7 linked regions of the Oryzias latipes genome follow. The protein of the gene in region 4 purifies or fractionates together with the protein of the main gene of each other region. This does not show direct contact. Links are inferred from orthologs where the notes say so. Each region holds a gene or a part of one and is shown on either strand. Other genes may lie near its edges. The genes, in order: dhx38, snrpe, snrnp200, cd2bp2, snrpd1, eapp and ddx23.

The links.
Region 1: the proteins of cd2bp2 (region 4) and dhx38 purify together in Homo sapiens (affinity purification with mass spectrometry; 3 studies listed by BioGRID and IntAct, counting the BioPlex papers as one, with this or other methods). This does not show direct contact. The link is inferred for Oryzias latipes from reciprocal best matches to the Homo sapiens genes CD2BP2 and DHX38.
Region 2: the proteins of cd2bp2 (region 4) and snrpe purify together in Homo sapiens (affinity purification with mass spectrometry; 3 studies listed by BioGRID and IntAct, counting the BioPlex papers as one, with this or other methods). This does not show direct contact. The link is inferred for Oryzias latipes from reciprocal best matches to the Homo sapiens genes CD2BP2 and SNRPE.
Region 3: the proteins of cd2bp2 (region 4) and snrnp200 purify together in Homo sapiens (affinity purification with mass spectrometry; 8 studies listed by BioGRID and IntAct, counting the BioPlex papers as one, with this or other methods). This does not show direct contact. The link is inferred for Oryzias latipes from reciprocal best matches to the Homo sapiens genes CD2BP2 and SNRNP200.
Region 5: the proteins of cd2bp2 (region 4) and snrpd1 purify together in Homo sapiens (affinity purification with mass spectrometry; 3 studies listed by BioGRID and IntAct, counting the BioPlex papers as one, with this or other methods). This does not show direct contact. The link is inferred for Oryzias latipes from reciprocal best matches to the Homo sapiens genes CD2BP2 and SNRPD1.
Region 6: the proteins of cd2bp2 (region 4) and eapp purify together in Homo sapiens (affinity purification with mass spectrometry; 3 studies listed by BioGRID and IntAct, counting the BioPlex papers as one, with this or other methods). This does not show direct contact. The link is inferred for Oryzias latipes from reciprocal best matches to the Homo sapiens genes CD2BP2 and EAPP.
Region 7: the proteins of cd2bp2 (region 4) and ddx23 purify together in Homo sapiens (affinity purification with mass spectrometry; 6 studies listed by BioGRID and IntAct, counting the BioPlex papers as one, with this or other methods). This does not show direct contact. The link is inferred for Oryzias latipes from reciprocal best matches to the Homo sapiens genes CD2BP2 and DDX23.

The regions. Positions count from the first base shown.
Region 1 is NC_019861.2:20,526,057-20,530,131, reverse strand, and holds the start of dhx38 (pre-mRNA-splicing factor ATP-dependent RNA helicase PRP16), read right to left. Parts: upstream 2,801-4,075; 5' UTR 2,549-2,800; intron 523-2,548; 5' UTR 520-522; coding exon 191-519; intron 1-190. Other genes in the region: cytochrome b5, read left to right, coding at 3,935-4,075. UniProt on the Homo sapiens protein: Probable ATP-binding RNA helicase. Involved in pre-mRNA splicing as component of the spliceosome.
Region 2 is NC_019863.2:23,629,254-23,633,221, forward strand, and holds the start of snrpe (small nuclear ribonucleoprotein E), read right to left. Parts: upstream 2,801-3,968; 5' UTR 2,632-2,800; coding exon 2,578-2,631; intron 1,393-2,577; coding exon 1,366-1,392; intron 1,284-1,365; coding exon 1,221-1,283; intron 530-1,220; coding exon 451-529; intron 171-450; coding exon 115-170; 3' UTR 1-114. UniProt on the Homo sapiens protein: Plays a role in pre-mRNA splicing as a core component of the spliceosomal U1, U2, U4 and U5 small nuclear ribonucleoproteins (snRNPs), the building blocks of the spliceosome.
Region 3 is NC_019867.2:18,369,349-18,372,848, forward strand, and holds part of snrnp200 (U5 small nuclear ribonucleoprotein 200 kDa helicase), read right to left. Parts: intron 2,725-3,500; coding exon 2,618-2,724; intron 2,534-2,617; coding exon 2,415-2,533; intron 2,325-2,414; coding exon 2,170-2,324; intron 2,096-2,169; coding exon 1,906-2,095; intron 1,812-1,905; coding exon 1,638-1,811; intron 1,514-1,637; coding exon 1,353-1,513; intron 1,265-1,352; coding exon 1,037-1,264; intron 947-1,036; coding exon 755-946; intron 671-754; coding exon 492-670; intron 414-491; coding exon 262-413; intron 152-261; coding exon 43-151; intron 1-42. UniProt on the Homo sapiens protein: Catalyzes the ATP-dependent unwinding of U4/U6 RNA duplices, an essential step in the assembly of a catalytically active spliceosome. Plays a role in pre-mRNA splicing as a core component of precatalytic, catalytic and postcatalytic spliceosomal complexes.
Region 4 is NC_019866.2:3,948,470-3,952,764, reverse strand, and holds the start of cd2bp2 (CD2 antigen cytoplasmic tail-binding protein 2), read left to right. Parts: upstream 1-1,495; 5' UTR 1,496-1,583; exon of another isoform or gene 1,584-1,845; 5' UTR 1,846-1,849; coding exon 1,850-1,924; intron 1,925-2,520; coding exon 2,521-2,650; intron 2,651-2,819; coding exon 2,820-2,977; intron 2,978-3,054; coding exon 3,055-3,643; intron 3,644-3,725; coding exon 3,726-3,811; intron 3,812-4,281; coding exon 4,282-4,295. UniProt on the Homo sapiens protein: Involved in pre-mRNA splicing as component of the U5 snRNP complex that is involved in spliceosome assembly.
Region 5 is NC_019869.2:22,965,507-22,969,788, forward strand, and holds snrpd1 (small nuclear ribonucleoprotein Sm D1), read right to left. Parts: upstream 2,801-4,282; 5' UTR 2,669-2,800; coding exon 2,655-2,668; intron 1,251-2,654; coding exon 1,174-1,250; intron 1,099-1,173; coding exon 907-1,098; intron 701-906; coding exon 624-700; 3' UTR 52-623; downstream 1-51. UniProt on the Homo sapiens protein: Plays a role in pre-mRNA splicing as a core component of the spliceosomal U1, U2, U4 and U5 small nuclear ribonucleoproteins (snRNPs), the building blocks of the spliceosome.
Region 6 is NC_019880.2:24,339,382-24,343,515, reverse strand, and holds the start of eapp (E2F-associated phosphoprotein), read right to left. Parts: upstream 2,801-4,134; 5' UTR 2,671-2,800; coding exon 2,591-2,670; intron 2,278-2,590; coding exon 2,099-2,277; intron 791-2,098; coding exon 692-790; intron 1-691. UniProt on the Homo sapiens protein: May play an important role in the fine-tuning of both major E2F1 activities, the regulation of the cell-cycle and the induction of apoptosis. Promotes S-phase entry, and inhibits p14(ARP) expression.
Region 7 is NC_019865.2:19,105,989-19,109,938, forward strand, and holds the start of ddx23 (probable ATP-dependent RNA helicase DDX23), read left to right. Parts: upstream 1-1,150; 5' UTR 1,151-1,281; intron 1,282-1,956; coding exon 1,957-2,114; intron 2,115-2,204; coding exon 2,205-2,312; intron 2,313-2,478; coding exon 2,479-2,572; intron 2,573-2,840; coding exon 2,841-2,906; intron 2,907-2,985; coding exon 2,986-3,124; intron 3,125-3,212; coding exon 3,213-3,346; intron 3,347-3,950. UniProt on the Homo sapiens protein: Involved in pre-mRNA splicing and its phosphorylated form (by SRPK2) is required for spliceosomal B complex formation.

The sequences.
Region 1 (4,075 bases), on a different chromosome or scaffold from region 4:
TTTTGTTTTTAATAAAAATGTTGCATGGGTAAAATGATTATGTATACTTAAAATTGAAGAGAAATGTTATAACATCCAGAATATAGTATAGACACTGTTCATTTTCATAATAAAAACAACCTAGTATAAATCATTTGGGGAGCCAAACATTGGGCATTAATTTCATAAAGATCTAATTTTTTCAAATTACCGTTCTTTCTTGGCACTTTTATTCTCTTCGTCGTCCTCTTCATCAGAGCCGGAGTCACTTTTACCCTCTTCCCAGTCCTTGTAGGAAGAAATCTTTGACTTCTTTCTGTCTCTTTCATCGCAGTTGAATTGTTCCTGTTCTTTGGTCTCCCGCTCCTTTCTCTTTTGGGCAGCCAGTAGATCCAAGCCCAGCAAAGATGTACGTGGTGTAGGTGCTCGAAAAACATGAGGTTCTGCAGCAGTACTCTTTTTCTTTACAATCAGACCGCCAACCTGAGCTTCTGGACTGGTCCCTTCCAGCCTATGCATGGAAACATCCTCCTCCTCCATCCTCTGACAGCAAACACAGACAAGTTGAGCATAACAAATAACAACAGCACTTTTGATATGCTGGTCATGAGAGCACTTAACATTTATAAGTTCACTGAAACTACAAATAATGTGTTTACTATGAATAGATGCAAAACTTAACAAGTATTTGCTTGAAACTTCTAATTTGTAAAAAATAAAAAAATAAAAAACGAAGTAGTTCCACAACCAGTGAAAAGTTTTAGAACACTCCCATGTTTCCAGTTTTTATTGGAAAGTAATCAGTATTATAAAGGCGCTTGAAATAAAATGTATTATTATTATTATTATTATTATGTCTGTTATCCTCGCAATCTTAAGAATATTAGAAATTAGAAAGTGGAAATCCTGGAGCGAATTTACAAGCTAAAATGTAACTTTTAATTATTTAAAGTAGCCACTTTTTATAGATATAGCCACTAAACAGAGTCAGGCATTCTTTCTGCAACAGAAACTCTTTAAAAACGCATCTCCAGGCCTCCTGCAGGGGTTCACATAAATGCTTGCCACTTTGCTTTTCCTTTTCCATCCACAAGTTTGAAGGATGTGCAGGGATCTCCATGTTTCAAAGATTACCATTTTGTTATTTATTCTAAGGTAGTTCTGGCAATGCTTGGATTTTTATTTGGAGTCATTATGTTGTTGAAGGATTAGCCCTTGACCAACTAAATGTATACAACAAAATAAAAGTAGTGAGCTTAGAATGCCGTAGTTTCTGTTGGTTTTAGGTTCCTCTCTGTGCAACCCACTGAGCCTGGGCCCAGAAAAACAGATCCATACCCTCACATATCCTCCTCTATGTTTGACAGTTGGTATCACAGACTGTGGAGCCTTTGCTTCACCTTTTTGACAAAGATTCTGTGACACAAAGCAAATATTTCAACATTTTATTAATTGATCAATACCTTATGTAGAAAAGCTGTTGAACCTTAACCTGCCTGTTAAGTCCCACAAAATGAGTTCACCAATTCAGCGGCGACTTTGGATCTTCCAGACTTTTTCCTTTCAAGAGTTTTCCCAACTTTCTGTGCACGTTTTGATTATGAATACAATTATATTTTTATACAATAAAACTCACTGACGCCTTGACTTTCTTTATTTGTCTGTACAAAATACCTACACTTTTTGGTGTTTTGATGGGCTGTGTCTCTTCCATTGTCGTTTTTTTTCTGCTTTTTCTTTTGAAAACAAAAAAATACTTTTAGATGTAAAACACTGTTTAACTACTCCCTGCTCTCATGAAGATTGAGAATGTTGCACGTTATCAAAAAAAGTAGGAACACCTGTACAAATTATTTTTAAGTCTTGATGAACATCTAGCTTTAAACTGTTAATCTATTTCATGGTAGTAGACATTTTGTGTATTTCAGAAATCTGTACTTTCTTAGTTTAGCCATAATTATTATGGCTAAATATGAATATTTATTATTATTAGCTGGCAAGAACTTGTAACCATTTCATGTTATTATTTGGAAATTACCGCCCTGAATTCTTTAAAATCGTGTGGATTTTAGATGTTCTAAAGCTGTTGACCGACAGAGTAAATTGTTAACTAGGAAAATATAAAATTAAAATCAATTATAGTCTTCAGTTAGATGACTGACTTGCAAAAAAGAAGAAAAAAAGGAATAGGCAAACCTGCTGTGCTTGTAAAGGCGCATTTACCATGGTATATTGCTTTGCAATTATACAATTTCTCAATGTTTACAATTAATTTGCGATTCATAGATTACTTTGGCTTTATTCGGTTAATCAAACCTTTTTTTTTAGCCTGAATAAAAATGGAAACAAAAACCCTTGCCACCCCCCCCCCTCCTCCTCCTCCTCCTCCTCGCATGAAAATAATTCAAACTAAAAGTGTTGATGGAAAAATCACCTTGATCAACCTGATTTTGAACATAGTCTACTGAGTATGGTGAATTTACGCACATTGACCTGCTCAAAAAGCGATTATAAATATTTGATTTTTACTGTTATTCACTGCAGTTTATTGTAAATGAATTGGACCTACCTCGGGCCGAACAGCTACCGTTAGCTTTCCCAAAAGCTACTTGTTAGCATAGAGCACCAGAAGATAGAACACCGCCACTTCTATTTCTGGGAGCCAAATGAAAAAAACCTTCATACGAACTTCAAGATCAGACGACAATGTTGTTCACTTCTGAAGACAGAGACAACAAGTAGAACGTAAATTCGTATATACGACGCAAATGTTTACAGACGCCAAAACAGCCATTTCAATCCCACAATGCACTCTGTTCTTCTTCTACACATGCCTGCAGTGTCTATGCTGCCACCCACAGGACATTCTAAAAAATAAAATAAAATAAAAATTTGTTAAAACAACTTAAAATCTCTTTTTTGTCTTCAGGACACGAATATTCGGCTTACCGTTTGTTCACATAATCAGCAACGGCAGATACATAGAAAAAAGCTAGTAGAAAAAGCTATATATTAAACACCACAGACGTGGACTTATATTTTTTTGTTCCCTAAAAGTCTCCTGCACACAGAAGTTATTCTTAAAAGGGTCATTTTGTCCCTTATTTTTAAATATAGGGGGACGAGTTATTTATTTGTGTGGCGTACTAAGGTTTACACTTGTTTACCAGCATCTGTGGCTTATGTTTTCTTTCACCACACTACTACAGTTTTGGTTCACTTGCTCTAAGTATGTCTTTTAGCCAAAGTTTACTTTATATCCTTTAAGTAGTGACTTGTCAGTGTATTTTTTTCAAAGAAACTTACTCTATGAAGTTAAAATAAAAATGATTTTGCCCCAAAAGAAAAAATAAATCTGGCCCAAGGTTATCTTGCAGGAAAATATGGAAACTGGATGTATTGCTGCCTACTTTGTGTTTTGCAAATTTTCGAATGGATGGAGGAGACCTTTTTTAAAATATATATTAAAAACTACAAACCATAAAATGTTACCCAGATTTTTTAACAACATTATTCACGCCACGAAAAACGCAAGTCATGTTCTCATGCGCAATGACAGCACACACTTGACAACCTTTGCGCATTTCTTTGGTCTCATGATCACAAGGTGGCTGATCTGATTGGCCACCACTCAAAATCTCGCCCACTCATTGGTTGATGACCACGGGTCTGCTGGCAAACTAGAACACACATGATTGGTCAGTTCTACGTCCCTTCTAGTGTACCGGTTTGTTTCATGATTTCGTAATAAACAGCACGGTGGCGCTGTCTACTTCTGCCTTTCTACGTTCTTATTCGCTGTACCCGTGAAAACATTAAGTAGCTACCCTTCAGTTGCGTCTTTTTTAGAACACCGTTGAAGTCGCAGTCGTTAAATCCATACCTGGCTAACATAGGCTAACATTAGCCAACACCTAGACGACTTTTTGTTTTGTTTTTTTTGTATCTCGCTAGAATGGTCGAGGAGGCTAACTTAAAGTCGAGCGGCAAAAGCACAAATAGTGACCATTGTGAAACCGTCGACAATGCCTTAAAATACTTTACATTAGAGGAGATAAGAGTACACAACATGATCAATGACACATGGCTGGTAATC
Region 2 (3,968 bases), on a different chromosome or scaffold from region 4:
GAAAAAAACAAAGCCATTTATTCTCAAAGGTTGTAGAGAAACTCACATTTATGCATAAAATCGTAAGCAGTTAACAGAAAAAAAAGACAGGATCTGCAGTCGTCACTGGTGTCACTAGGTAGAGACACTCTGCAGCAAGGTGATGTTGTCGCCCTTTAACATAACCCGACCTGTGAAACAAGGAAAGAAATTTATCTTGACATTTTAAAAACTGACATTCCTGAGTGTATAACAAATAAATACTGACTGGAAAAATATTTCTATGTTTTCCTCAAACAAATATTTTGTTACAGCAGTTCTAGAAACAAAAGCTAACAGTACATGTTAATAAATACAAAGAATATTCAAATTTTTCATTGTAAAATAAATAAATAAAGCTGTTCTAATAACTGCTAAGATCAAAAAATAGTAACTGAAATTTAACAAATTAAACAAGCTAAAGAGTCTTACCCAGTGGCTTTCTGTTCTTGGTCTTCATGTGGACCTCCTCAGCATCATCTAGAACCAGGTTCATGTACTCATCAAAGCCCTGGAAAATAAAATAAAAAGGAAATAATCAATTAACTACTTTCATAACTGAAGCTGTTTGGATTCATTTAAATTCAGGCTCTCAAGGTTTTTCCCCCCCAAGAAAACGGCACAGGTTGTTTGTTTTTATTTCGGCTAAAAACAGCATAATCATAGTTAAAAGATCACCGAGAATGTTCTGAAAATAGATTAAAGTGTCAAGAGTGTAGGACCGGCAATTTCAATTGGTCTCCTAATTCATGCTTAGTTTGTCATTATGCTGTTCTCATTGATCATTTACCTACTGTATTGTGAGTCTGAACCAGTGTGTGTTTTTTTTGTTGCCGTTTTCAAATACATTTTTAAATCAGCTGCAGAGTTCTGCTCTACTGGTAAGAAAGGTGCCCGCTGCAAAAGCAGCTAAAACAGAGCCCCAAAATAGTCGTAGAAAAAATTTCTGCAAAACAGTTTTAAGTTGATTATTGTGGATCTAACACCAGCCATTAAGAACTTTTACCAAGCTCCAATAAAAAAAATAACTAAAATGCTAGGTCAGTGGTTCTCAAACTTTCTCTTGTTCCCCCTTTTGGAGCGGAGAAGGAAAACCTGGAATCGTCGATCGTTTTTACAGTCTATACCAGTTTTAAAGTAACTGTGGCACACATTTGGAAAGTTAACAAACACTGTGAAAGTAAAATAAAGAGAAATCTTACAATGATGCAGCCTTCTATCCGCATGTTCACCTGCTCATAAAGCCACACCTGGATTCGTGAGCGCTGCAAAGCAAAGATGACACGAATCAGTATTTCAGTCACCACCGAGACAAAAGGTGAACCTGCAAGAGCCTTCAATACTCACGTTCTGAAGGTATCTGAAAATGAGGTTCTGATGAACAGAGTCAAGGAAATGACATGTCTAAACCGTTTCAATGTTACAGAAGATATTTCAAATAACATGAACTAGTCATTTCAATTTCAGTAGAGTGACACAAACTGTTTTGCACTTTAACCGGAGAGCTGAGATCCTGTTAAATACCAGTGAATGTCATACATTTCAATGTAAGCCAGTGAAAAAGGACTTCACAAACCAATTACATGACCGAAATGATGAAATAAAGCTATGGATGACGCAGAATTTGCTCGAAAGTCCCACTCAGATCATTTTGATCTATTTTTGAAGTATTATCGGCGGTCTTTTAACGTTAGTTATGCCTTTTACCAGCTTACAGAAATTCTGCAATTGTTCTAGAGTTTTACAGTTTACTATTTAACTTCTGCTGATGTATCCACGTTATAACGTAAACTGTAGGGCAACCATGTCAAAACAACTGAAGACACGCTTAAAAATGGATTTAAAACGGGTTCTGGCATTAGATTTTCTCTTATTTATTGACTTTGTTAGGGGTTTTTTTACGAGTCAAATTTTAATGGTATTCTTAATTTCTTTAACATCTTTTTTATTTTTTTATAGATGACATGTCACTTCATAATCAAGAAAAATAAGAAAACAGGTCTCACACACTCACAGGGACAAACTTGAGTTAAGTTAAAAACCAAATAAAAAACTACAAAATATGACCAATTGTTACAACAAATCAAAAGAACATTTAATTATCAGACCAAAGTAGTGCATTTAACTAATATTATTAGTTTAAGTCGTTAAGTGCAACATCTCGATTGTTGACTTCTTTTTTCACTAAAAGAAAACTCTGCCAAAGGTAAACGTGTCATTGTTTTCTTCTTTCCAATTAAACAAACGTATTTTTGTAAAATGTATAATAGTAAATTGATAACCCATCATATTGCTATGTACGTTTAGAAAATGCTAAAAATGTTTGTTTCAAATTCAATTTCTTTCGAAGTACAACGTCGTGCTTAAATTTGATCGATAAACAGAAAAATACGTGCTTCAATACTGAAATTAAAAAAAGTCAGTAAATATGCATTCCAATGTATTTAGAAAGTCATGTAGTACCTAGAAAAAAAAGGAATACAGTTTACCGATGAGCAAACACGAGAAATAACCGATTAGCATCGCTGCTAACAAATGCTAACAGCAAAGAAAGGATACAATGGGCTGCACCATAACCTTCTGCACCTTCTGTCCTTGTCCTCGGTAAGCCATTCTCTTCACACGCAAAAAAGACACGCAAGAAGTATTTCGTTAAAGAAATATTGCCTTTTACAATTGAATGATTTCAACGTTCAGCTCACGATGCCAAGTTGCCTTAATGGCGGGTTTCTTTCCGCATCCGGTTCCTGCACTGAAAGGTTTCCCTTCACCGAACAAGCGCCACCTACAGGCAGGATGTCAATACTGCACAATTTGATATTTGGTCAAAAATTACGTTCAGTGTGAAATCCTTCAAATATGCAGACTAATTATGACTTATAAAAAGTATGAAAACACATCTGGTACCAATTAAAAGGCTAAATTTAATAATTAAGTTGTTTTTGAGTCACCATATTTTTTGTCAACGTCTGTTTCAGTACATATTTATTTCTTAATCCTGAAGGGAAAAATACAAAGGTTTTGCTTCGACTTTTTTCTTGTACATTTTCAGTAATCGTTTATTTTTGCTTGGATTAATTTCAGTGATTAACACAAGTACCAATAATATTTGAACAGCTTTCATATAGCAGAAAAGAAGGTTTAAATATTGATACATCAACTAGTTTGGATATAGCGTCATTTACTTCATAGATGTTCAATTGTTGGATGTATATAGTCTAATTTATCATTTAGATTTTTATTTTTTTATTTTCCTATTACACATAATATTAACAAGCATACAGATATGTAATTACTGTAGTTGTTTTTGCAACACAAATTCAATAAGTGAAAATTGTTGATAATTTTTGTAATTTTTCCATAATTGTTCAAACTTTTTATTATTATTATTTTCTTACAAGTAATTTTGTTTTCAATATTAGAGTTTAATTTTGTAAACTATTTCCTAAACATTTATCTTGACCAGGTTCTACTGTCACAGCAGTGACCTATTTTATCCAAAAGAGGGCAGCAGAGAAAAACAAAAACATAAGAAACAACTCGAGCCCAAGATGAACATTAGTAAAAGGTTTCACTTCACTTTCCTTATAAATAAACTTAAAGTTCTAATCTGAGTTCTACAATAAACATTGTTAAAAAGTGCAGTCGATTTAAAGAAGTTGTCTATAAAAGTATTTAGTCAAGAAGGTGAGAGGTACAAATGATTCTTCTTGTTCAGTAGTGTTCTTTCTTCAAAAAGGTTTAGAATTTATCGCATAACTTTTGTTTTTGATTAAATGTGAAATATATTTTCACCTGCAGATGCAGACCTATGAATTTAGCAGGAACATGAGCTCCATTGAGGAGTGTTTTTTCCCCACCTAAGATTTTTGTGAGCTAAATTAAGAATATAAAACATAAAAACATGTATGTGACTTTCTAATTACATGTGTGTTAAATTAAATTAAATT
Region 3 (3,500 bases), on a different chromosome or scaffold from region 4:
ATTTCTGAGCCGCTATAGAGGTTGGGACAGCCTGATCCTTACGCATGGATTTTTCCATTGTAGTACTGGGTGTCCATGACAATGACCAAATGTGCAGAGATGCTAATTCCCCAGCAGAGAGAACGAGAAGAAACAACCACCTGGACAGCACCTGGATGAAAGAATTACCATCAATCATTCAGAAATTTATTTTTCTAATGCTTTGCATGTTGATGAAAAATTCTTCTCGTATCAACAATGAAGTCCAGGAATGAATCATACCCGAGTTGAACAGCTGTTCCACTATTTTGCGTTCAGTTGCTGACAGGCCTTCATGCAGATATCCCACACCATTGGCCAGAGTCTCTTTCAGAGTGGGATCATTTATTTTCTCCAGGAATGGTACCAGGTCTTTCTCGGTGCAATGCAAGAACCTTCAAAGAAACAGGTTTCACCTTTGTGTAAAGATTTGATTCCAAACCCAGAGAGTGGAGTCACATCTGGTGACCAACCTCTGAGGAACCACGTCGGCGGCGCAGAAAGTGAGGATGTCAATGGCAGTGAGGCGGGTCTGTCGGCGTGACGGTACGAACACCACCGCCGGCTTGGATGGGGAGTGCTTCATGATGGCATGATAGACTGGCTTGGCCATGGAAAGCAGCCGTGTCTGAGTATGACTGACGTTGAAACCCTGCAGGAACAGAGAAGGTCCATGTTAACAAAAGGATCCTGTATTTGTGGCTTTGATCATTTACAGGTAGACATGTTAATGAACCTGAATGTGCAGCTCCAGAGGCACAGGTCTGACATTTGGGTGGAAATTAAAGGTGGCCGTGGTGCTGCAGCCCAGCCAGTGAGCCATGTCTTTGGCATTGGACAGAGACGAGCTGAGGGCGACGATGCGGATGGGACGCTCGATTTGTGAGGAGATGTACCTCATTCTGGAGCAGATAACCTCCAACACCGGCTAAAAACACAACCAAAGTCCCATCGATTAGACAATCTACATACAGTGATGCAAACACCTGCTGTTTACAGAGACTAAAACACTTCTTACTCCATTTTCTCCACCAATAAGGTGTGCTTCATCCACAATGAAAAGGCTGACGTTCTGCACATTCTTTCTCTGTTTCCAGCGACGAGACAAGATGTCCCATTTGTCTGGGGTGCTGATGATGATGTCCCCTTTCCCCAAAAGCTTCAGATCGGTGCTGGTCTCCCCAGTTAGGAGCACCACCTTCTTGTTCAGGATGTCCTGGAACTTCTGATGCCAGTCAACAAAGACCTGAAAGAGAGAAGCCATCATGAAGCTACAAGCGGTCCGATTCTCCAAATGGATGTGGGCTTCACAGAGTTCTTCCATGACATTGTACCTGCTCAGCCAGTGCTTCCATGGGAGTGATATACACACAGCGGCCTTCTGTGTTGTGCAGCAGCATTCTGAGAATGGCAAACTCCGCACAGATGGTCTTTCCACTCCCAGTGGGAGCTCCCACAAACACATTATCGTCACTGTTGTACACGGCATTGAAGACTGATTTGGAGAAAGGAGTAAGAAAAGAAAAAGATGTGAATACAGAGCTCTGGTTTGAGTCAAACAGATCAGTCTGAAAATGGGATATTCCATCTTTTTGTCTGGGTTTCGTTTTTCCAAATACCTTGTGTCTGAATTGGATTGAAGAACGGAAACTTGTTCTGGTAGAGAGCTTCAAAGGCAGAGTTCCTGAGAGCAGTGACGGGCAGCGGCTGCAGGTCCAGCAGCTCAGTGGGTGGGGGGTACTTCTCTGGCAAGATGAGGTGGCGGAAGGACACTGGGAGCTGAGTCTCACAGGCTGAGAGAAAAACAGAAACGAGAAAGGTGTCAGGCGAAGTTGTACAGTGGAGAGCAGAGGAATTCTGCATTGCAGTTCTCTTTGAGCTACTTACAGAGCCATCGGTCTGAAACCATGCGGATGAAATACTGAGGAGGCAGAGGCTCAAACACGGGGACAAAGAACGTCACCAGATGTTCGTCCTGGGCGTACTTGGCTTTAAGGAGGAAGTACTCGTGGTGGAGGATCACTTCACTGTCAACGTCCTCCACCAGGATCCAGAAAGCTTCAGATGATCCGTGAATCTAAGCAGAAAGGGAAGCTTAGAAACAGGAAAAGCTTTTCAGAAGGGAAACGTCCCCGAGTTACAGCCACAGACCTTATCGTCCCACTGGAAGTCAGGCGTGATGGTGAGCTCCACTTTCAGAGTGGAGCGAGTGATGGGCTGGAGATGAACGGCGAGGTCCAGTCTTGGGAACTGATGGACGTATTTGTGAATGGTCTTCCCCATCTTTGGCATTCGAATCAGTTCGCCTACACAAAGAGGAAGACAACAGCTTTTTCAGTGTCCTGCAGGCAAAGGACAGCATAGAATGAAAATGCTTCATGAAGCGAGAAACTCACCAATCTCATTGTGGTTGAGATCGTACAGACGCTCAAAAGGGAAGTTTTTCTTCTCAATCTTCTTGACCACTTCCTCTGGCAGCTTTTTGAACTGACGCAAAGGAGACATCGACTGCCACCTGTAGGAAAATCAGAACATAAAGCATGAGAATCCAGCTTCAAGATAGAAAATGTATTTCTTTAGTAACATAAAAGACACTTGCATTCTCTTGTCGATCATCTTGCACAGGTTCATGGTCTTATCTGTGAGCTGAGCCCAGCCTCGGTTTAGCACGATCTCAAATATGGCGCGCATCAACCGTCCAGCACTCTGAAGAAAGAGAACCGCATTATTCTTCAGGCAAACTAATGTGCAACAATAGCTGCAGTTACATAGACAAAAGTAATCGGAATAAACGCCTGATCAGAATAAAAATGCGTCAAGTAAACACTTTGAACAGACTCATTTGGATCAAAATGTCCTTCTGATCGAGGTAGGCGTGTTATGTCGAATGTTGATCCGATCGTGGTGCATATAAACAGTTTTTGTCGATCCTGGGTCACTACGGCTTTGGCTTTTATGTCATGCACACACGGTGTGGTGCTCCAGAGGCTGCTCCGCGCGAGCGAGCCACATCTGTGAGCAGAGCAGCCGGACTCGTAGCTTCGTGTCTCCAAGCAGAGGAGCAGCTTCAGAACGGTGTGTGAGATGGCGGAGGCAGCTATTGAATGCGGAAATGCACTGCACTGAGCAGTCCTGAGAAACCGCGCAAATAATTAAGTGAATTTGTGTTTTCAATCATGTCCAGTCAAAATAAAGGCTGACGTTATGCCCACATACCTATGTGCAGCCAAGATGCACATTGCAGCATTGACCAAAAGGATTTTAACTGCATCCACGGCCAAATGTTGTTAGCACGTATTAACCTAATCCTAACCCTTCTTCTGGGTACATGCAGCCAAGAATAAAGCACTGGCTGCACATATTTAGAAAATTATGAGCATCAGGCACTTAATAATAATAACAATAATAAGAGCACGCTTAAAAGATCTTAAAAGAACTCGCCATTTCTTCTTTTATGGTCATATCCGGTATTTTACATAGTT
Region 4 (4,295 bases):
TATTTATAATACACCTTTTTGTTTTAATAAAGTAATGCAACAGAATTTTCAGAATAAAAGTATCTTTAAACCTTAACTACTAGAAGTGAACAAAGATCATCATATGAATAAATGAATAAATAAAACTTGTGAAACATGCAATACCATCAACCCCCATGCATCCAACATAACGACATTTATTTTAAACCTGGTAAGTACCTCATAATAAACAATAAAAATGTCAGCACATTTCCAAAACCACAATATTTTTCTTGGCTGCTCACATCACTGCAGATTTGACAGCGCTGACTCAGACTTACCTTTTGTCAAGCAGTAAGGGTCACTTTGGCCTCCCACGCAGTCCTTTCATTATTCAGATCGACACATTATGTTTTAATTTTTGTTGTTGTTAAATATGAAGGCGGTTGTTTGCTGTCAGGTTGATTCGACCAGCCCAGACAATGTTTTCATATTTAGCATTAAGTTACTAAAGCTGGTTCCCTCATGGGCACCGAAGGACGAGCGTTTAAATATAAATAACTCAACCCACTTCCTGGTAATAATACCCTGACACGTTATATTCTCTGTTGAGTCTGCCCGGAGCTCCTGGGAACTGAGCAGTCGCGACCTGCTTCACTGTCAAGAAGTGAGATTCTAGTGGCTGTGGTGGAGTTGACTGCCTTGGCTCCATCATTTCTCCTTTTATTTCTTTTATGATGTGATTTCCTTATGATTGCTTTTAAGGCGACTGACTCTGCTGTGGGCAGATGGAAAATAACTGAAAAGATTCAGTTCCCTGTCAAAAACAGCACCACTTTTATTGATCTAGGTTTTTTTTCCACTTTTTTTAAAGCTATAATTAGATCAGCTTCTGATTCTATATTTATAGAATAATTTCAACTCCTGGTAAGGATTTGTGTTTGTTGCCATGGAAAATAACAAAATCTTTTTTTAAATTGAGCAGCTTTCCTAATAAGGTTCCTATTGTGCATAAATCCCGTGCATTTTCCTTATGTGCTTTTAAAAACTAATACAATAAAAGATTAAAAATGCAAACGATTGAAAATGCAGATCTAATAATAATTATTTTGTTTGTGTGCTATCACAAATAAAAAAAGAGCTATTTTAAAAAATGATAAAATAAAAAGACTTAGTTATAAATTCAATAGCATTAATGGCTTTTAGGGAGAAGCATTAAATCTACAAAAATGAAACATAGCTCTATTCAAAGTGTAGTTTTCAAAATGACGTCTGAAAGAGCAAAACTGAAATCGAATATTGTTTCTCTGAATTCTCATTTCTAGATTTATTAACAGTTTTACAGAAAATTATTCCTGCTTTAACTATTCACAACTGCAGTTTTTCAAAAAGGGTGTGGTAAATAAAGACAGTTTGCTAAAAAAAACGGATAACAAAAGATGAATGAATCCTAAACAAAATGTAATTTTTGAGCCAGCCTCAACGCTTTTATCTTTGAAAATAACAGCTGTTACCCTCCACACCACATGGTGGCGGTGTTGCGTCATTCCGCCATTGTTGAATAACAATAAAATCTAGATTTCCGTCAAACAAGAAGCGAAAGCGAACGTTGACAATTTATGCAGGTTTTTTACCACGCTCTCCCTATCTGTTCTATTGTGTCATTTATACTTATTATTTGTTTATACATTATGTTGACCAACATAATGTTGAATGCCTTTCGTATATCGAGTCGCAGTTGGTGGCGAGGCGTTTACTTGTTCTGCATGCTCTCCGTGTTGTTGTTTGCTAACACTTAGCTGCAAAGCTAATAACGTGCGTGTTATTACAGTCACTTGTGGGTGTGTAGTTGCGTGGATAAAAGTGGTGCTCTGTTGTCTTCTCCAGCACCATGTCGAAGAGAAAAGTGACATTTCAGGACGGGAACGAAGAGTTTGAACTGGAAGACGACGGGCTCACGAAGAAGGTAAAGCCGGAGGATCTGTCAGGGTTTTGCTAAAAAAGTTTAGCCTTTGATTTCCTGAATTTTGATCTGGATAAACTATATAAGTAATCATTTGTTACGTATTGGTACTAATTAAGTGCCGCGTGTTTTATTTTAGTTTTGTGCTGCGTCATTCATTTCTGTGTTTTCCTCATGATGAGCTGTTGGCCTTTATTTGATGCACTATTTTCATTCCACTATTCTATTGAAATATTAGTACAGTTATTTTAAAGATGTTTACTTTATTTTGATATATTCTAAAACGGCATTTGCATAACTAATAAGTTATAACTTTTATTAGTCATTTGAAATCTTTTCCAGTAACTTATGAACTGAGATTATTTTTAGCTTAAGTGGACACTTTGTTTAATTCAAAATATGGCAGACCTGTGTAATTTTTTTATTATCTGAGAAATGATAGAATGTAAAAGAATAAAAACACCTATTTTTAGGTGAAGCATGACCTTGTTTTACTGTTTAGGTTATGCTTTTTTTGGGGGCATCGATCACAAAATAAATACATTTGTTTCGCTTTTGTTTCTAAGTGCCATCCCTATGACTTTGTTTTGTTGAAACAGAGCTGTGAGGCAGTGAGTGGACCAGGTTCCAGGTTCAAGGGCAAACATTCACTAGACAGTGATGAAGAGGACGAAGGAGGAGAATCAAAACACAGCAAATACAACATTCTAGCCAGCGATGATGTGGAGGGTAAGCCTTGTTTTTTGTTTGTTTTGAAAAATAATATAAGTGAGGGTGCTTTAATTTTAAACCAAGATGTTTAATATCTGTTTACCTGCACAAAGTAGTCCTTTATGCTAATAGTGCTTTCGTAAACTTTCCCTGGAAGCTGTTTTAATGTCAGAAAATGTGTTTTCAGGTCAAGAAGGAGCAACTATCGACTATGATGAGGGAGTATCTATTACACCTTTTAACCTAGAAGAGGAGATGGAGGAAGGTCACTTCGATTCAGAGGGAAACTATTTCATCAAAAAGGAGAAAGAGATTAAAGACAACTGGCTAGACAACATAGACTGGGTAACTAGTTTTAGGAACACATACATGGCGTATTTTCAGTCAAGAGAGAATGAATGAAACATCTTCCTTTATTACAGGTAAAAATAAGAGAGCAGCCTTTCAAAAAGAAGAAGAAAGGTCTGGGAGCCAAGCGGGTGCGCAGAGCTGGTGATGAGGATGAGGCTGAGGAGGAAAAGCGGAGGGAGGAAAAGCAAGTAGACAAGGGTGATCAGGAAGAGGAAGAGGAGGAGGAGGAGGAGGAGACACCTGTAGAGGACCCCCTGGCATCCTACACGCAGCATCAGCTCACTGAAGCTGTTGTTGAGTTATTGGAACCCGGAGAAACGGTTGCTACGGCGCTCCGTCGGTTAGGAGGCCTTGGGGGGAAGAAGGGGAAGCTGAGGAAAGAGAACGAACCCACAAAGGAGAACAAAAGAGATGCCGAGAAGCTGGATAAGCTCACAGCTCTCGCTGACAGACTGGTTGGATCAGGGATGTTTGAAATCTATCAGCACACTTATGAGAAACTAGGATTTTTGATGAAGAGGATGACGAGCAAGCAGCCAGCAGACAGGCAGAGAACCAGGTGTAGTGACGATGAGGATGAACTCGACATGTTTGGCGACAAATTTGATGAGAAAGTTGAGGAAAAATCAGAAGACAAAGAGGATGAGGAAGACAAAAGAGGTAATTTGGCGAAACATTTGAAGATTTTCGGTTGTCGTCACATGCAATGTAACTTATTTGATCGATCTTTCTGAACTTTTAGTGACGGATGAAGTGATGTGGGAGTACAAATGGGACAACAAGGAAAACACAGAGGTCTACGGCCCCTTCACCAGCCAGCAGATGCAGGTTATTCCCCTCAAATTTGTACATGAAGAATTATTCTTATGGGATTTGTGCAAAATTAAACTGTTAATCTCCCTTTTGTGTTTTAATATAAACAATTAGAAAGTGGTGTCTTTGTCTATATCTGTCAGCTAATAGTTCATTTGACGCCTAATGTACAAGAATTGTGTAATTATTGTTACTCCTATACATTGTTTTGAATAAAATCAGGATACAGAATATGTTTAAATGATATTTAAGTGAAGTCATAATTGACATTATTACAAAAAATGATAAAATCTGTGCAGCTTTAATGCAGCATTTTATGTCTACCTTTTAAAGTTTATTTATTTTTTAAGTGAATTTTAACTGCTCTCTTTCTGTAAAGATAGCAGTAAATCCCACCGTGTTTGCCAGATTATTGACTTGTAAAGTAGCTCTGACCCTCAGTTGGACCTGGTGGGGTTTTAATCTTCTTATTGTTCGTTTTCCAGGGCTGGGTGGACGA
Region 5 (4,282 bases), on a different chromosome or scaffold from region 4:
GAGATCTTCAATAACAAACATAAGTTTTTACAATGATGTCAAAATTCAAAGTGGATTTTCTTTATTTTATTGGAAACTTATGTGGGTTAAGAGCCAGCCCATCTAAGTATTGGACAAAAGGTTTTTACATTTGCAGTCATCAACATCCACACCATCCACCAGAGGTGGATCAGCAGTATCTGGAACATCATCAACAATAAGTTGAGATGTAATCAGTTCCAGAAACTGTGAAAAAAAACCTTATCAACCTATTTCAATCACTTATAGGAAAAGTGAAAACTAATCAAGCCAATTAAAGAGCCAAATATTACAAAGAGAAAAAAAAAGATTTATTCTTCTTTGATGCCAGTAGAACAGCTACATTTTCAGCCAACTTTGCCAAAGACACAAGAAGGTATAAAAAAAGCAAAAAACAGATGACATTTTTACCCAGTTTAAATGCTGCTCAGACATTTTATTCAAGATGGTACAAATTATGAATCAACAGCATCCAAAACCCCCTCGCGGTCTTAAACAACCCACGAGTATAAAAAAGAAAAACAACCCTAAACTTACACTTAGATTCACTTTGCGTCCACCGCGCAGTACAATTAAAAGCTGTACAAACAGTTGGGGCTCTGAAATCATCTCCGTGGTCCACCTCGCCCTCGTCCTCTTCCTCTGCCACGGCCCCGTCCTCTGCCTCGCCCCCTACCAGCAACTGAGAACAAGAAAGGCCAGATTCTTTCACCATACTCGTGAAAAAAAAAAGTTTTAATCAGCAGAACAAAACATTTCTCAAAGAAATAAACAGCAGATTTACACACCCATGATGAATATAAATACTGTTGAGGGATTTCTTATCGCAGAAAAATCCTTCTCAACTTAATACAATTTTCCAGGTAAGAATGTGCCCAAATCTCCCACCTGCTTCTCTCTTCTTGGACTTGATCTTTGGTTCAATGTCGACCAGCAAGGTGTCCAGTGGAAGACTGTCTGGCAGGATGAAGTAGCGAATGTTGTTGCCTCGGATACTCAGGGACTCCAGCTGAGTGGGTTCCCTGTTCTTTAGGGTCATTTTCACCGCCTTCAAGTGTGTGTTCATGCTTACATCAACACCTATTAAAAAGAAGAAGAAGAGGATTTTAAAAATGATTTAGTTCATTTATTCGTCTCTAAAGTGTTTGCTCTCACCTGTGATGGTGCCATGGACCTGAGTGCCATTCTTCAGTTCAATGGTAACGGTCTCATGACTGAGCTTCATCAAAAACCTGTGTGGACACGGGAGAGTAGCATACATTTACATTTACTTAACCTTTAAGAGTTGTTTTACTGCACTATACTTTACCAAACATACCATTTTGTAATCAAAAAGCAGTACCAGTATAATGTATCTACACTTCAGGGAAAGAATCATTTTCGCAAAAAAAAAAAAAACATGATTTATTGTCATCCCACATGAAACAAAAAAGGTTCACGTGTTTTATTCTTACTCAAAAGTGTATTTTTCAAAAACCTAGAATTGGCACATTCATTTTGGTTTTCTGAATCCAAAAGGCACTTTCATTTAAACGTCAATGTTTTAAAGTGACAATACCATGAAAAAAAATACACTAATAACATGCTGACCTTTAAGCAGAACTAGAACAGGAAAATGTTAATCAATAATTGATTGGTGGACTTTAACAAATTAAAAGCATCATTTTTATGTCTGTTCATATTCACAAAATACAAATGAAATAAACAAAATGTCAAACATAAAAAAAACGAGGGAAATAAACATACTGTGATATGCACCATTTCATACAAAAACTGCATTTGATCCCATACATACTGGATAAAATGGAAGACTTTAAACTCCATTTTCAGATTCACATTTTTTAATGTTTTGTATGAACATTTATGCGGACTTTTTGTTAGAAATAATTGTTGGTAACGTTTTCTGTTAATCATAAAAATATTTTGATAAATTAAATACAATAAAAAACCGCTTTATTAGAAGGTTGGCACCATTGCTGTAGAAGACTTTAATGACTAGATCCATCTTGAATGATCAATTAGCCAACTTACTGCTTTGCACAAAGAAGACGTCTCTCTCTCACAAACATTAGACAGCATTTTTGTACAACACATAAGATTTAACGTATAAAATTGTACAAAATACCCCCCCCCCCCTTTTTGAATGTATTTTTTTTTTAGTATCTAAACAAAACTCGTGTTAGCTCTTAGCTTGTTAGCTTCGGTGGATTGATACTGTTGTGTAAACTGAAAACAAAACATTTGTCTCTTAAGTTGTGGAAATTAAAAACATCCAAAAATAAATACAATTAAATAATGATAAAGCACTTTGAGGAAACGGAAACAACATCTAATAAATTAACCTCCTTTAGTACGATAGTTTTAATAATGCGGGGGGAAATTTGCAAAACCATAAATGATAACGAATCAGCCTCGATCTTTTACAAATATTGCTAAAACAAGCAGTTTAATCCTTGATTAAATAGTTAGCTCTAATGATATGTTTATATGTATTTTTTGAATGAAAACCCAGCAGCCTTGTTCCCGCCTCTCCACACAGTTCATTTGTCTATCTGAACCCATCCGGCCACACAGCCTTTATTTCATCATCCTATCTTAAACCAGTCGACACATCTACAGACCATGCAGCAAATTACCTGACTAGTTTCATGACGAACAGTAGAGAAAAGATCCTCCACCGACGAGAAAAATTACAGCGATCGAGTGAAATCACAGGCCGCTGATGTACCACCAACGTTTGTGTCGCGTTGATATGACGTCAGAAAGAGGCCACCGCTCACCGTCAATGTTGTCTTACCGCCGCCTGGTGGTGAGATGAAGAACAGTCAGTGGAAAGACAAAAATGAGTTGTTTTCTCTTACTCATTGGGTTGGTGGCATCTAATATTCCTTTACTGTCTTTATTTAATTACTTACCAATTACTTTAATTATTAACTGTTTTTCTATGTGTTTTATTGTTTTTTCCATCTAATGCTGTTTTTTTCCCCTCTCAATCTACTCAATTTTAAATGTTATGTTAATGTAAGCCCTTTGGCACCCTGATGCCATTGTATGGTGCTAAAAAATAAAGTACCAGTCATTTATTCATAGATTTCTATTTATGTATTTGGCATTTAAAATTATTAATGGAAATGCCATTTAACAGAGAAACTTTTTTCTTAAATTTTGTTCTTATTGGCCCTTTTTTTGAAGCAACAAAAACAAAACATCTCTGAGAGAACTGCTTCAACTACGAATACTGTTCTGTTTTTATTTATGATCAAAAAATTGTCATAGGAATTTATTCAGGCATTGTTTGCAGTACCGTGAAAAAAGAGAACACAGCACACTGTGGTTCACATTCAGCCAATCATAATTGACCCGATTTGGTAGAAGTAGGCTTTGTGATTGGGTGTCTTCATGTTGGCATCACATGTACATAAAAAGGCAAAGACAGTAAAGACAGAAAAGAAAAAAAAATAACGATTTACTTCCTGATTGATTTCATTTTTTTACCTTTTCACCAACTTGCTCGTATTTAAGGTTATCGATTGATAGAGCTGTTACTTCCAGTACTTGATCAATTTTCAATACGTAACTGTATCCTTTACATCCTTACAAAATACACAAAAAGCTGGGAACCATTGATCTAGGAAAGAAGACAAAAAGAACAAAGGAGCAAACTTTCAGATCTTTTTATTGAGAGTAAACTTTGCATTGATATTTCATTTAGAGTTTTGGCCAAACAGCAATACTTTTTATTTATTGAGACAAGCTGGGAATGTATCAAGTGAAACCTAAAGAAAGTGCAAATTGTTGTATTTAAAAAAAAAGAAAAAAGAAGGTATTTGTGGAGGGAGGATTTAATCAAACAGTGTGGAGAACAAATGCCACCACAACATTCACCATCAGTCCAAACGTGAAAATGCTGAAAAACCCCCAAACATGTCCTCTGCATGCTGCCTGATGAGTGTAGCACGACTGCAAAAAAACAAAAATACAAACTTCCCATTCAGGGATAATAAATGCTGTATAATAAAAAAGAAAAACACACACCAGTACAGTTCATTGAATGAAATCATGGGCAACACATCTGGCTTCAAACTCAAACCACCACCCATTTACTACAGTAGAAGAAATTCAACACCAACTTAACTCCCTTAAATTAATATTCCTCTCATTCCAGCACCAAATCGCCTCCTACCTAAAGGCAGTGATTCAGCCCCCTGTAAACATTGTGGGTGAGTATTAAGATGTGAAGATCTACAACGTTGAAGGACTGTTA
Region 6 (4,134 bases), on a different chromosome or scaffold from region 4:
ATTTCATGACGTGCATTCAAACCCTGAGAATTATTCTATGTATGTACTAGAACAGAATTTCTGGCATGGTGGTACAACGGTCAACCGCTAACATTAATATTCCTAGTCCAATTCCCACTCCCAATTACGTTCACACCAGACGTGTCACACATTCTTGGACATGCGTTGTCATATGGTGTTCACAGTGGACGGGCGCCAACACGTCCACCACCTCCAGTTGGAGGAGGCTTGGGAGGAAAATTCAAAGCGGTGCAAATCTCCAGGCGTTTTCTTTCACGGCTCGATTCCGGTTTATGAAAGACTTGGTGTGTCATGTAGTTCTGGCAGGGCACAAACTGCACATTTTGAATTTCTCCTTCTTGATCACCTTTCAACCAGTTAGCCCATTTGGTGAATTAAAAAGGATGCTACGCATGCGTCACTACCAAATCTGACTCTCTGATTGGTCAAAGTTCAACTGGTTTAACTTTCAAAGTGCGTTCAGTGGGTGCAGGTTTTGTACAAAAACAGACATCAAGACTCGCGCAGAGATGCACGAACAAAAGAGTTTTGACCGAAGAAGCCGGAAATGCGCATTTACAAGCGTTTACATAGACTTGGACTCGTTGGAAGTAGTGGCGTAGACGCGGATTCCCGTGGGCGGTGTGAACCTAGCATGCCCGTGCTCACGCCGCGTCAGTGTGCGTCTTACCAGCTGTGTCCTCCTCCTCTGAATCAGAGTCAAAGTAAACGCTGTCGTACATCTGAGGGTTGGAGGAACCGACAACCTCGCTGCCTCCTCCAGTTTCTGCTGCAGGAGAGAGGAAACCTTCACATGCAATCCCTCCTGAAACCTTCGTCTGCAGTCAGATTAATACAGAAGCAGACCAACCCCTCCAGAGAACAGCTGATGAGCTGCCTTTGCAGAAAAACATTCAAAATTTACAAACTATTGGTTTGTTTTGGGACTTTTATTTAACACAAACTAATCATTCAATTTCTCCTGGAATTGTGGAGGATTTGAAGGTTCTGGTGGATGAGAGGTTGTGGACTCCGGCTGGTTTGACTTGACTTTCTACTATAGCAAGTACATTGTATTAAAAGAGCATTTTTCTATTTTAAATTGAACAGTATTTCTAAAATATATCTTTTTTCTAATGTTTGTATGATTTATTAATTAAAACAAAGTAAAGAAGCCAAACATGAGTGGTATCAGGTCAAAACTATTGTTTTTGAGTTTTGCATGAAACCTGTCTGGATCTACAAATCCTCCCATGCTGGTCACTGATCTGACTGTTCATTACAGCTCAGACCTTAAAGTCTGCAGCTTCTAAAGAGAAGAACAGCTTTTAAAGCTGCACTGAATGGAGGAATGGAAACATCAGAAGACCTGTGGGGTGTTCCAGGAAGCATGTTTAAACTAGCCTGACTTTAACCCTGAACTCTGGCTGAAATCCGCCTGAAATCGCTTACTCTGGGTATGTCGGTTCCAAAAGACCGGGTATGAGTTGGCGTAATTGCGCTCGACTTGGTAACCCTGGGTTAATGCTCGTGCACAGCAGGTACATAAAGACATTCTCAATAGATCGCCGATTTACGGAGTAACCATGGAAACGCGTGGAGAACAATGGTGGAAAAAGTATTATCTGAGCTTCTTCATCCACTAAATCATCTTCAAATGGACACGCCATGCTGCTTCACCTCTCTGAAAACAAACTAAGCTTCAACTAAACCTGCTCCAGACCAGGTTATGTTCAGAGCATGAGTTACTATGGCAACTTGACCTACCCTGAAGCATACCTCCATTTCTAAAACAGAAAGCTGAGGGTATCAACTTCCTTAGCCTCAAACTTACCGTGGTAACTAGCATAACCTGCTTTCTGGAATACCCCCCAGATCAGGCTCTAGAAGCAGAATGAGATGGTTTTGAAAGGAGAGACGGACAGTTATGCTGCTGCTGCTGCTGCTGATGATGATGCTGGGAGGCGGCTGAGGTTGGGGCTGGTGGCTCCAATGTGGTAAAGTGGTTCAAAACAACAAGCAGCTCTCTTTTGTACAAAAGCTTGGTGTTTCTGTGTTTGGAAGGGCCCTGTGTGTGTCTGTGCGTGTTACGGGTTACCGGCTGCAGGGGCCCAGCTTCCTTCCATGGTCCTGAGGGTGGAGCTCAGCTCTGCCTCCATCTCCTTCTCAAACTCATCCCCGCTGGAGGACTCGCTCTCCCCGGTCAGGTACTCCCGGATCAGCTTCTTCTTCTGGTCCGGCGTCCCGTTCAGCAGCACGTCCAGCTCGTCCTCGGAGCTGAAGACAGGCGTTTCTGTTCAAAACTGGACTTTTGGAAACCTTCATCATGATGACGATCATGAAGCAAAGCAAAACACAGCGCCAAAATGCGACATATTGCGTCTCTTTTATCATGGTCTAAAACCTGATTCAAACTTTAAAATTAAACGTCTAGGAACTGGTTTATCCTGCATATATTCTACCTTTAAAATCAAAAACATCATTAAAAACCAAATCATAAACATGTAATGTTTTTATCCGTTTTTGTTGCTTTCAGCTGTTGTTAGCCTCGTGCTGCTAGCATGAAGCTAACCGTCTGTTTACATCATACCTGCTCGAAGCGCGTTCTTCGTCGCTTGGCTCATCGATTTCATAAGCCTCACTTTCCACCGGTCCGTTAAACTTGCTCATTTTAACAATTTTAAACTTTCTCAGAAGACAAAACAACGGGAAAGATTTATCCCGAAACTGGTCTACACTCTGTCCAGTCTGACGTATGTCTTCTTCTTCGGCATCGGTTCTTCTTCTATGGTGGTAAAAGCACTTGGAAAACTCGTTACCGCCCTCTTGTGGAGAAACATTTTAAAATCATTTTTACTTCAACTATCTAAAAGGAAATTCATTTCAGAACTAAAAAATAAAAGTAGGTGGAATATAAAACAAAAGAAACAAATAAAAATAAATTTATTTATTGCTAAAGCCACAATTTAATAGTAAAATCGGTCAGGTTAAAATGCTGAAGCTAAATTTAAAAGATTAGAAAAGTAAAATTAATAAAAAAGAAGAAATTAATTATTGTTTGGATTTAACAGTAGGTATAACATGAAAATAATTAAGAAAATTTTCAAACATTATATATTTTTATGTATCCCCAAAATATAATGATAACTATAGACTTCAAAAAGCATTAAATAAAAAGTTTTTCAAGATTAGTTTAAGGATAACCCATGCAACTTGAAAAGGACAATAGAGGTGAAAAGATTATTCAGCCATAAGCGCTCATCCTGGCAGCTCAGGAACAAGCCCTGAGTACCAGAGCAATAGAGGCTCAGATCTACCACACCAGACAAGACCCAAGGTGTAGGCTGTGCAAAGAGGCGCCTGAAACAATCCAGCACATAACTGCAGGGTGTAAGATACTGGCAGGGAAAGCATACATGGAGCGCCACAATCAAGTGGCTGGAATAATATACAGGAACATGTGTGCAGAATATGAACTGGAAACCATAAAGTCAAAATGGGAAACACCTCTGAAGTGGTAGAGAATGAGAGGGCAAAGATCCTGTTGGACCTCCAGTGTTATGGCTGTGGCCGTATTCGGTTTTGTTCTTTTTGTTCTGTCTTTTTTGTATCATAGTGGGACTTCTGTGTTTTGTGGGTTTTTGTGTGTCTGTCTGATTACTTTGGTGCTGGAAAGGGTGTGGCTTCCTTTTGGACCCAAGCTGATGGAGGCAGCCTTTACAAGCAGCATGTGGACCCCCAGCCTGCCAGAAGGGAGCTTTGCTGCAACCTGTCTCCACGGAGGTTATTGTTTTGTCACAGGTAAGATTTCAGATCTCAGTCAGGTGGGGTTTTGTTTGTTATTTTGGGTTTGGTTCACCCTGAAGCCTTTTTGCTTCACCTTTTAGTTATTGTCGATCGGTATTTATTAATTTGTAAATAAATGTTATTTTTTATGGAGACACTCTTTTGGTGTTTTTGGTGTTAATTTAAAGTCAGGGCAAAAAGACTTTACTGTTATGTTGTGCTCCTCTAGGTCCCCCTAGATATCAAATGGGGCAAAACATCCAGATCCAGACTGATGCAGTGATCGCTCCTCTAACTTTACCTCGCCTGAGGAAATCTATTTGATCACCTTTCATAATTAAAGTTATG
Region 7 (3,950 bases), on a different chromosome or scaffold from region 4:
TTATCTGTTTCAAACTGAAACAAATTACATTTTTGTATTTCAGTGGTTATATTTCAGATTTTTGCTTCAGATATTTTTTGATCAACTGGTGAAGGCCGAAAATAGAAATATGTGCGTGCGTAGCCAATTTGAACTCAAATTCAGCACACAGACATACATTTTGATTTCACTGAGGGGTCTGGGATCCATCATTTCTACAAAGTTTCATAAAAAGAATTTTAACTGCTAAATGTATGCATTTTTGCAAAAGGGAAAGTAACTACAAAATACATTCAGAATAATTAATTTATTTTCCATGGAGACTGCTCTTATTTGGAATAACAAATCTTTTTATATCTCAACCACAACCACACTTCTTAATTTAAACAATTTGAGTTTTAAAGTATCTATCTATCTATAGAGTGGCCTTTTCTTGTGGCCAGTCTAAGGCACACCTATGGCAGGCCATTTTAACATCAAAAGGCTAAGTTTGACTATCCGGAATGAACATTGTAGATATCAGCAACGTATTTCTGACTAGTCGTAATTACATTTTGGATAGTTGGAATTGTAATTCAAGATATCTGTAACGTAATTGTGATAGTCGAAACGACCGATAGAGATATGGCCTGCCATACACACCTGTGCAATAATCTTACTGTCTAATCAGCATCTTGATATGGCACACCTGTGAGGTGGGATGGATTGTCTTGGCAAAGGAGAAGTGCTCACTATCACAGATTTAGACAAATTTGTGAACAATATTTCAGAGAACTGGTTATTTTGTGTATGTGGAAAATGTTTCACGTCTTTGAGTTCATACCATAAAATATGGGAGCAATAACAAAAGTGTTGCGTTCATATTTTTGGTCTATCTATCTATCTATCTATCTATCTATCTATCTATCTATCTATCTATCTATCTATCTATCTATCTATCTATCTATCTATCTATCTATCTATCTATCTATCTATCTATCTATCTATCTATCTATCTATCTATCTATCTATCTATCTATCTATCTCAGATAAATGCATCGCGATCGCCACCCTGTGCCCAAAATGAAAAATAAACTGAATTTTATACAGGCATTTAGGTGGACATACATTAAACAATCTGGGTCCTCAGAAAGGTCACGAGATTGCTGGGTAGTGTAGTTGATATTTGCTTTTCATGCACGGATCACCAAAGCACGAAACTTCAACTCCCACGTACCCTTGCGAGGAAAGCTTATTTCGAGCGTTATGGAGTCTTCTTGAATCGTTTCTCTATCGCAGTACGTTTGTTGACAAGTGAAAAGGGTAAGTTAACAATCTGCTAAATATAAAGCCTCTGAGCGGGTTAAACTTATGGTTATCATAATGTGTTTTATATGATGTCGGTGGTGCAGAATTGGAGAGTTAATGTAGAAAGAAGCGGCCTTTGTAGCTAAGTCGTTTGCTAGCTAGTGTGTTACTAGCGCTAACTCGCGCTGGATATGCATAGCAGCAACATTCATTTCCCAAAGATTGAGTAAATCACGTTTCCTTGTCTTTTTTTTTTTAAAATATACATTATTTTTTAAAGTTCCTTTTGCTTTTGTATCTATATATTTTACTCGAAAGTTCAAACTCTAAGCATGTTTTTTTTCTTTTATGATTTACAATTTACATAAGAAATTGTTCTTTTTGTGGGAAAAACAATTCATTTAACTGGAACTTCGTAAAGAAATTGTTGTGAAAAAGCGAAATGTCAAGTTGTGACGCTGATGTATAAAATTTTTTTTTGGTAATGTGAATTTTAATGCAAAATTAATGAGCATTATGTCTTGTTTTCCAGTTAGTGCTTCTATCCATATATGTGAATATAATAAAACAGCACTTTATTTTGATATGTTGCAAAAACAATAAAAAAAATACAGAAACTAACTTTTATGATGTATTTCCCAGGTGATGGTTTTAAAAAAAAGTTCTGCTTACATGTTATTGTGTTTGCAGATGGCAGCTGACTCCACAGATAAGAAAGATGCTGAATCCTCAGCGAGCAAGGACAGGGAGAGGAAACGCAGCCGCTCCCGGGACCGAGATCGCAAAGCGTCTCCACTGCGCAAACGTCATCGCTCTCGCGAACGGAACCGCTCCAAATCCGCAGAAAGGTTGCTACACACGCAGAACTGTGTCAGTGTATCATGGCTAATTGGGTTCACGTTCTAATGTTTTTTTTCTGATTTGTTTTATATTTACAGAGACCGACGCATGAAGGACAGAGACAAGGACCGCGACAGGGATAAAGACAGGGACAGGGGCCGCAAGGACAGAGAGAGGGACAGCCATCGCCGGGATCGCAATAAAAGGTCTAGATATCTCGCAGAGAACACATCATTATTAATATACTGTGAGAGGAAATGGGAAAGGAACTCCCTTTGGCATTCTTGGGTTTGTAGAGACTTACGATGACCCGGAAATGGCTCTAACGGCTTGAGGTTATTTTATTTTTTTATATGTTTTTATCTTTTATAGAAGTCCGTCTCCAAAGTCAAAGGATGGCAGGATGAAGAAGGAAAAAGAGATCAAAACAGAGGAGGAAGAAGAGGAAAATAAAAAGAAAGAAAAGGTTTGATTTTTCTATCTATAAAAAAAACTTGAATAATAATCATTTACTCCACAAACAAGGCAAAGAGGGGCAGACATGGTTGTTTTTTAAGCTTCATTTTTTTAAACATATTTTTTAACCAAGATTTAGGAGTTTGAACAAAGAAAGATCCAAAAGTTTAATTTTTGATTGGGATTTCTTCTTGTTTTTTTAAGTTTCAAAAGTTTTGTGCTGATTTAGAAACAATACTTGAAGTGATGCACTGAACCTGCATTGTGTTGTGGTTCAGGTCCAACCGCTTTCGTTGGAGGAGCTTTTGGCCAAGAAGAAGGCAGAAGAAGAAGCAGAATCCAAGGTTGGATTATTCCCGAGAGAAGTGTTTCTTCTTTCTCATTTTTCTATTGTAAATTTTATTTTTTTGTTTTGTTTTTCAGCCCAAGTTTCTGTCAAGAGCAGAGAGAGAAGCCGAGGCTATAAAGCGCAGGGAGCAGCAGGTGGAGGAGAAGAAGAAATTGATGGAAGACGAGAGGAAGAAGAGGAGGGTGTTTCAGGATATGGGTAGAAAAATGTTGGGTGAGTTTCTAACTTGTTCCTCGAAAACAACCCGGCATTTTACTTTGCTAAAGAGACGTGTTAAAAAAGATGTGGCTGTCTCTCCCAGAGGACCCACAGGAGCGGGAGAGACGTGAGAGGAGGGAACGAATGGACCGAGAGAATAATGGAAATGAAGAGGACGATGAGCGCCTAAAGATGCGGGAGGAGAAAGATAAAACTAAAGAACTCCATGCCATCAAGGTTGGTTGCAATCCCAGTTGCGTCAAATGCTTTGATAAAGACAGGAAGGAAGCAGCTTTTGGGTTGTTTCTCTTAAATATACCTTATCTAGAGGCTTCGGGGTACTTTTAAGAGCAGTTTCCTGGTCTCTGGATTGTTCCATGTACCATAATTTCAGGATTATAAATCGCTATTTTTGTCACACGCTTTCAACCCTGTGGCTTATTCAATGATGCAGCTAATTTATGCATTTTTAAATGCAATTTTTCGAGCAGAAAGGGAAAGCGTGAGGCAGGGGGAATACGGTATATGTGTCGAGGAAGACGCAAGTTTAATGTAAATTCCTGCTTTGTGAATGAATAGCACAAACAGACCCTCATCATGGAAAATGCAAGAAGAAATGCATATGATGCAGCTTTCAAGTTAAAAGCGATCATTAAAAGCAGTGTGAAAAAAATCCACCATCACCAACGGGTTTGGAAAAGGTGGTCTGCTGCATGATGGAGAGGACAGCGCAAGCTCAGGAGAGAATTTGCCTCAGGATGAGAGTGACACTGACAGTGACAACGAAGGAGAGATGGAGAGAGAGTGTGGCGAAGAATCTCTGACGCTATTCCAATCAACA